2 linked regions of the Danio rerio genome follow. The protein of the gene in region 2 purifies or fractionates together with the protein of the main gene of each other region. This does not show direct contact. Links are inferred from orthologs where the notes say so. Each region holds a gene or a part of one and is shown on either strand. Other genes may lie near its edges. The genes, in order: chd3 and mta3.

What was found.
Region 1: the proteins of mta3 (region 2) and chd3 purify together in Homo sapiens (affinity purification with mass spectrometry; 4 studies listed by BioGRID and IntAct, with this or other methods). This does not show direct contact. The link is inferred for Danio rerio from reciprocal best matches to the Homo sapiens genes MTA3 and CHD3.

Annotation. Positions count from the first base shown.
Region 1 is NC_133182.1:20,735,099-20,738,925, forward strand, and holds part of chd3 (chromodomain-helicase-DNA-binding protein 3), read right to left. Parts: intron 3,597-3,827; coding exon 3,469-3,596; intron 3,381-3,468; coding exon 3,251-3,380; intron 2,978-3,250; coding exon 2,802-2,977; intron 1-2,801.
Region 2 is NC_133187.1:27,003,940-27,008,375, reverse strand, and holds the start of mta3 (metastasis-associated protein MTA3), read right to left. Parts: upstream 2,962-4,436; 5' UTR 2,901-2,961; exon of another isoform or gene 2,797-2,900; 5' UTR 2,759-2,796; coding exon 2,731-2,758; intron 1-2,730. UniProt on the Homo sapiens protein: Acts as a component of the histone deacetylase NuRD complex which participates in the remodeling of chromatin.

The sequences.
Region 1 (3,827 bases), on a different chromosome or scaffold from region 2:
TCGCAAAAGGATTAAGAATGTTAAGAACATCACACATTGTCTTTATAAGTCGTTTTTAGAGGAGACAAGCAGACATCATAACGGTTTGCACTAGTTCAGTCCCGCTTGTCACCAAGGTAGGTGATACAGACATGAAAACTAAAGTTTGTTGTACAGTTGGCGGTTCACTTCTATTATTTGGTAGGATTGCATTCATATCAGAAGTGAACTGTACTAGAGTTCCCACAAACCGTACCCCAGACCACCCCTTCAGGTGGACTTGAGTACGGTTTACGGGTGCACATCTGAGTTTAGGAGACAACGTTCACACTAGCTAAACGTACCATACGCCAAACGATCACGGTTGTGGACCTAAATCGCACTTCAGCGTTTATTTGAAAGTAGGGTTGTAACAATATACCGGTATGACGGTCTACCACGATTTGAACGTGCACGATTATCATACCATGAACAATTGCATATCAACGGTTTTAACCCTTAAAGACCGAGACAGCCGCCCGCGGCTAAAAATAAGTATTGCTCTTAAATGTTTAATAACTTTTGATCCGCTGATCCGATTCATACAATTCAAAGATTGGCATAAAGAAGAGAATCTCAGCTTTCCAGTGCTGTATCACATAACATTCACGGACATTCAGAGGCTCCGGAATCAGTGCGGTTACGTCATCAAAATTTGACAACGCTGATTTGACAAAGAAACGCTCGTCACTGTGTCTCCGGACAAACCAGACATGATACATTGATGCATTGTCCCTCCTTCATGCCCAGATTGGTTCAAACTCGCTATATCACAACCAATAAGCATAGGTTTCACTTTTGTTTGTGGACCAACACTGAGCTTTTTGAACAACACGGAATGAGAGATAGGCATACATTTCTGCGCGGCTAAATAAAACGCAAAAAAAAAAAAAAAGTTTTGCATGAAATAATTCTCATACCAAGTACTTTTGCATGCACAGCAGCACAGAAACATGACAAAACAGTGACACAGCAAAGACGAACTGCTGCTCTTGCTGTTTTCAAAAGACACAAATGAAGGTGCAGCTGTTTGTCTGCATTGCATACAACCATATCCAAATCCATATCCACAGACAACCATATCCATGCTGGCACATAAAACCTAAGGATGTTCCATATTGAATCTAGTTTCGTTATGTAACTATTTATAGTATAGTAAATATTTATATCTATTTTTTACTGAGGATTTGCACCATGTTTATTTGGACTTTGACACACTATTTATTATTTTCTTATTTTTTTATTTGTTCATTGTACAAGTGGACACATTCTCTCACCTCTGCGGTCAAGATTAAGTCCTGAAAATCTCAACATGCTTACATTTCTTCATCACAACCTAGACTGAAAAAAACAACGCTTTAAATACATGTTTACAGCCATAAACTTGGTATTGCACTTTTGGTCTCCCATTTATCCTGCTTATAAGGAAGGACAGTTTAAGTTTATTTTTGTCTAATCTTAAAAGACCTTGCTTGTTTATTCCTTCTAATTTAATTTATTAAAATGGGAGATTTTTCAGTTTATTTTTATAAAAGACTTCTATAGTTCTATTAAAATGGTTCTTTCAAAAGTTTGTTGAAATAAAACCTTTGTTCAGTCAGAAAACGTGTTCTTATTCTTTTCAGGGTCTTTGCTATGAGAATTACTATTTAATACCGTATACCGCGAAACCGTCAAACCGTGGTATTGTTTTAGACGATTATCATACCGTGAAAAATTCATACCGTTACAACCCTATTTGAAAGCGCACAAGAAGATCTGCGCTTGAGCAGCATATATTTGAGGGAGCGTGCAAGAAGTTTTGTGCACAGGCAGAGGAAATCTGAGCCCAAGCAAAGCGATCTCGACTTAATACTGCACTCACAACATTTGTCATTGAAATAACACCATAGGTAGATCTGTGTAAAAAAGGCCTGCCGCCACAGCTTGAAAAAATCTTAGAGAAAACACTGAAATACCAATACTATGTTAAAATACAATTATAGGGGTTCATGCATAATTGCGCCAATCAGTCTTTGCAAGAATCATTCAACAGTCTAAACCAGCAGATCTAGAGCAGCGATGGCTATCACAAGTGGTCATGAGACACTATTTCTTGCTTGAATTTACTAAAAGTAAAGTAAAATTAGACGCATAGTTTGAATAGTTTGAGCTACAGTAACCAGAAATAATCAGAGGTTAATGTGTGCCAAAATACTTTAAATATCCCACAAAACACTGAAAACTTAAATATGACTTATTCATAAATTTGATGTCATTTAAATAAATAAATTGGATACACTGAAAAACTTACCAAAAGAGTCGACCCCCCCTGATCATCAATGTATAATTTGCACCCTGGTTATAAACCAAATGAGCATAACCATATCTACATTTCACAGCAGAGACACTTCTATACACATTAATACAAACAGCAATTATAGCATCAGTTTTACTGTTACTGTATCATTTCAAATCATTTTTAAAATGCATGCAAAGTGGATTTGATTCACAGAACAGAAAACATGTCTGTTGACACACTAAAAACCAAACTCTAATACTCAGCGACACCACAGTGTTTGGCGATGCTGTTTGTGGATAGTTGATAAGGCCTAAAGATTACTCATTTAAGTCCACAATCAGTTTTTTCTTATGGGAGAACATAACTCCAAGTTTGCTTTGATCTCTGAAGCTCCACAGACATTTTACAATGACAAACCATTATAATAACCATTACATAAAAGGTGACAGGACCACTTTGAAATCAATCTGTGACTCTGAAGGTTTGAGTGGAAGTGACTCACGCAGTGAGGGCAGCTCCACTTGCCCTCAGGTGCTTTCTCCAGCTCAGGTTCAAGGCACACCAGGTGATAAGCTCTGGGACAGGTATCACACAGAATGATCTCTCCTCCCTGCTGACACACCTCGCAGTAATCCTGATGGTCAGTCTCATAGCCATCGCCATCCTCATCGCCCAGCGCTGAGACAGAAAGATATGGAGAGAGATACAACATTAACTTTACCCCTCTGATGCATAATGTCTACTACTGTTTTAACCAATAAAATCATTTAAACCACCTAGGGTAATTATTATCTTCCTAAATTCTCTGGCAATGAACAAAAACCTCTATCACATTAATAATTTGATGTAAAAGAGAATTGTTTATTACACTTTGTGTCTGTGCACTCAAAAACCCATCTATCAGGAGTTTAGACGGACCTGCAGTGATAATAGCAACAAGCTAATTCTCACCCTTTTTCTTCTTCTTGGCAGGGCGACCCCTTTTATTCTTTTTGACCCGTCCTGAGCTGTCAGAGCGGACTGAAGAACTGTGAACGCTGGAGTTTTCCTGCTCAGAGTCGTCCTCATCCACCTCCTCACTCTGCATTTCAACCACACACACATACACGATCAAAAACACTGCACGCAACACACATTATTGTGCAAGCGGGTTATACACAGACACTCACTGAACTGCTCTTCTTCCTCTTGTTACCAATCGCTCCCAGTTTAATGCGCAGGGGAGCCATTTTCTTGGGTTTTGGCTTCTTCTTGTCGGAGACACGAGGGCTCTTACTTCGTTTCTTGTAGCCAGGGCCTGTCAATAAACAATAAATTGTCAATGTTGGTATTCTAATATAAGTATTCTGTCTAGATTAATAAAAATAATCATGCATCATTTTTAAATGCTAGAAGATATTTCAGATGTCAGAACATTTTAATAAACAAAACAAATATTTTAAAAATTGCTTAAAATTACATTATGTGTAATAGTAATTAATTGGCACTCATTCTAACGTTTTGAGATTTTGGGCTGTTATGTTTACAA
Region 2 (4,436 bases):
TGGCACTTCACTTTCATTCAACAATATCTCATGTATGCCCCCTTAGACAAACGAAATATTGAATGCGAGTATGAACTGCTGCAAGAGTGTTGTTTTAATGAAATTTGATACCAGACACCTTATTGAGAAAAACACCTCTGCATTTCACGATGCAGGTGTCTGTAGTCCTTCACTGACTTGGTAGGTGCAAAGAATAATGTCAAACAGCCGTGTGTTTGTGTATAGACCAGGTGTGGGCAAACTTGATCCTGGAGGGCCAGTGTCCTGCATAGTTTAGCTCCAACCTTATTCAAATAGACCTCATCATAGAGTTCTAGTGATCTTGAAGACACTGATTGGTTTGTTCAGGTGTGTTTGACTAGTGTTGGAACAAAGCTCTGCAGGGACACCGGCCCTCGAGGATCAAGTTTGCCCATCCCTGGTATAGACTACTGTATCTTGACGCAAAATGCGGCGAAAATCCTACACAACAGTACCAGTTTGATTAAAATGTTTACATGTCTGTACTGCACTTCAATACTGCAACTAGATCGGCATGTGCCACATGTTGTAATTTGATTTCTGTTTAGTTCGATTATGACGTTAATTAGATTTTTTTATTGTGGTTTACATGGTAGACTCTTAATCAGAGTATTGTCTCAAATCAGATAATTGTTGTCCATGTAAACAATAACTGATGTTTAAATCCATCTCATTTGGCCACTTCAGTAAATTAGTAAAGTAGCCAAATGAGATGGATTTAAACATCCATTATTGTTTACATGGATAATAATAATCCATTTCGAGACAATACTCTGATTAAGAGTCTACCATGTAAACCACAATAAAAAAATAACAATCCAATTAATGTCATAATCGAACTAAACAGAAATCGAATTACAACATGTGCCACATGCCGATCTAGTTGCAGTATTGAAGTGCAGTACAGACATGTAAACATTTAAGAGAGTCTATGTTTGGATGTATGAATGAGCCATTTGTCATTTTTATATATAATATTGTGATATAAGCTTGTGGACCATATATTTAAGCATGAAAATAAGGAGTGAAGCAGGTTTTGTTTCTGCTTTTATAGCCAGAAAACTACATTAAACACCAGACATGCTTTCATGCACCAATTTCTGTTCATCTAAATGAATTAAATCGAATTGCACATCAGTTTACACAATCTAAAAACTATCATCAGATTCAAACATCAGTTTATTTGCTTTATACATTCTGATTGAAACATTTGCGACTGAAACTTGTGACATCATATCACACTTTAGAAAACAGCATGGAAGTAACACCAACAGATCTCATTATTGCTATTTTTGCCCTGTTGGCAACGACATACACATTCGTAAACCAGCAACATACATTTTTTGTGAAATTTTACTTTTTCCATCGATAAGTTCTCTACCTGATGCCATCATGGCAACTAAAGGCATGTATGTAAACTTAAACACCATGTATTTCAAGTCACAGCACTGTGCATATGCCTCGGACAATTTTGCACACTAAAGAATTTTTGGGTAAAGGATACATTCCTTACAGTTAGGCATAACTGATAACATTATCATTTCGATTGCAGGAATTCTTCTTGCACTTACATTACGGTAATGATGAAAATCCCTAGAAATGGCACATTTTATAATGCAATGTTTTTTTTTACTATTCTAAAACATTACCAATTGTGTTGTGTGACCTGACAAGACACTAAGACCTTCAGCTTGGCCTTTGACTGAGGCTAAGAAATGGTTTGTTTCTGGGATACATTTGTATATATAGCATTTGTCAAAAACAAGACGACGAGGTGAAGAATGTGCATTCATTAACAAACACTTCATTCATGCAAACAAGCATTTTCTCTTCATTGCCATTTAAATGACATTCTTACACATGTATCAACACATAACATCACACAAGGAGCATGTCATAAGGTAACCGCGCAAAGTATTCAATTATTACAAATGCTATTAGATTTGCAGTGAATTCATAGGAAGTTTGCTCGTCCAGCTGCAAAAGCATTTTCAATGGCACTGCATTATCGCCGCCATGAAACAATGTCAAATTCCGCGGCATGTAGCCGGCTAATTGCACAAACAAACGACGCGACGGTATTGTTAAATACACGCTGTTAATTACACGCGTGACAACAAATGCACATCAAAACAGTGCAAATTCTTAACGCTTCGGCAAATAAGTGGGCAGAAGTTGAATGTGGTTTCTCTAAGGAAATCGAGTGAGGGGTGTTAAATGCTAGCTCGCTTTGCTACCTTGCATGCCGAATGAGAACCCGTAACTAATGGATACGTGCCAAAAAATGAGACAAATGATCACAAAGAAAAACATCGGCGTCTAAAATTGCAATGGTTAAATAGCAAGCATATCTCGCTTTTAACCTATGTGGGTAAATCTAAGAGAAACGTGCTCTAAGTGCGCGTTTCCGATTGTTTTACATATAGTAGTGATTATTTGTTTATGATGTGGCTAGCTAGCAACATAGCCTGCTTGCTAAAATGCTAGTGCGGCTATGATAGTTTAAGAGGCCTGACCCAAATCAGAACCCAAAATATTCTGCATCCACGTTATCGTTTTCTTTTGCAAGGACACTGCACGTGTTAAAGAGTTTAAAAGTGAGCGGCCGGTTTCGGGAATTCGCTTGAAATGAGTCCCTGCCTTCCAGTCAGGTCTTACGGTGGTGCCTGTGTTTTGACTTGCGTTAATTCAGAATATAGACGGACATACCTCCGACCCGGTACATGTTGGCCGCCATTTCTGCCCTCCCGGAGTGTTAAAAAACCAAACCATAAACTAAAATAAAAACAAAATAAATATGTGAATCAAGAAGGCATCTACGTCCTGTGACCTGTTGGAAAGCAATCTGGCTTAAGAAGTTTTAAATAAGGGGGGTGGACCTCAGTAAGAATAGGAGATTTTTTTGCAGCCCCCCTCCCGAGATTCACAGTACAATACAGTAACTCACTCACGCGCTAGAAAAGGCTCGAGCGCAGCAGCTTCCTGATGATGAGATGAGAGGAGGAGAGAAAAGAGGAGGGAAGGAAGAAGGAGGGTGAATGAAGTCTACAGACTGCAACCTCAACACGACACTCATGACTGTTTTACCCACAGAATTCAATTAATCATGGTTTTGATGTGCATTTAAATCATTTAAAATAACGTTTTCATATTTTGCCAGTTTTTTTGTTATGACAATAAGTGTCTTTTAAAAGCTGTCAATTGTGGAAAACAAGATTGATATACTTGATTCACTGTTTAATTTAGTTTTGAACATATCACAACCCGATGCACAATGTTTTAGCAACCTATTTATATGAGTGGCAAAACCCAGTTAACACCAATAATAAATGCTGACACTTTGTTTGGTTTTATTAGCATGCTACTTTATCTGTCTGTGTCTGTTGTTCTTAAAAAATACTTTTATTGAGGTTTTAATAGTTTAAACAATATATTGTATATGAAATAATAATATATTTAACAACCGAAAAAGTACTTGCCTTTCAATCTGCTGTGAATTTATTATTATTATTTATTTTTTCTTTTATTTACCTCATTAAGGTGGCACAGTGGCTCAGTGGTTAACACTATCGCCTCACAACTAGAGGGTTGCTGATTCAAGTCCTGGCTGTGTCAGTTGGCATTTCTGGGTGGAGTCTGCATGCTCTCCCTGTGTTTGTGTGGGTTTCCTCCAGGTGCTCCGGTTTCCCCCACAGTCCAGAGCAAAGGTGTAGATTTGGCCTGGATGGAGGGCATATGTCCCCACCAATATCTATCAATTACTGAACTATCCCCACCAATAATTGAATCACCTTCAAAATAAAATAATGCTCCATCAACCCTTGTTAACCTAGATATGCAGAAATGGTTAGTGACATTCTCTTCCTGGGTCCTCCCTCCCACAAACACATAAGGACAGTGTGATTGGCTGGGCCTATTTATGCTGTTATTGACAGCTTTAATTAAAAATCAAATAGTCCTCATTAATTAGTCACTTTTGGTAAAATCATGAATGAATAAACATAATGAAACTGCCTTTCCAGTACAGGGGTTCATGAATTAGTGTACTCTCGGGGTTGGGTTGCGGGTATGAAGGGCATCCAAATCATATGCCAGACTAATTGGTGGTTTCTTCCGCGGTGGCAACCCCTGATAAAACAGGAACTAAGCTTAAAGAAGATGAGCGAGGGAGCAAGTAACAGCCACCAAAGACCAACCATTAAGAAAAGTCAACACATAGCCTTGCATTGACTCACTCACTATCCTTCATTTATTAGTGGTCGCCACAGCAGATTGAACCGGCAATTACTCTGGCATATGTTTTATGCAGCCCTTCCAGCTGCAACCCAGTGAGGAGAAAGACCCATACACTCTCTCATTCACACACACATTCTTTCACTGTGTGTGATTTATTTATAAAATAATTTCGAGAGGAT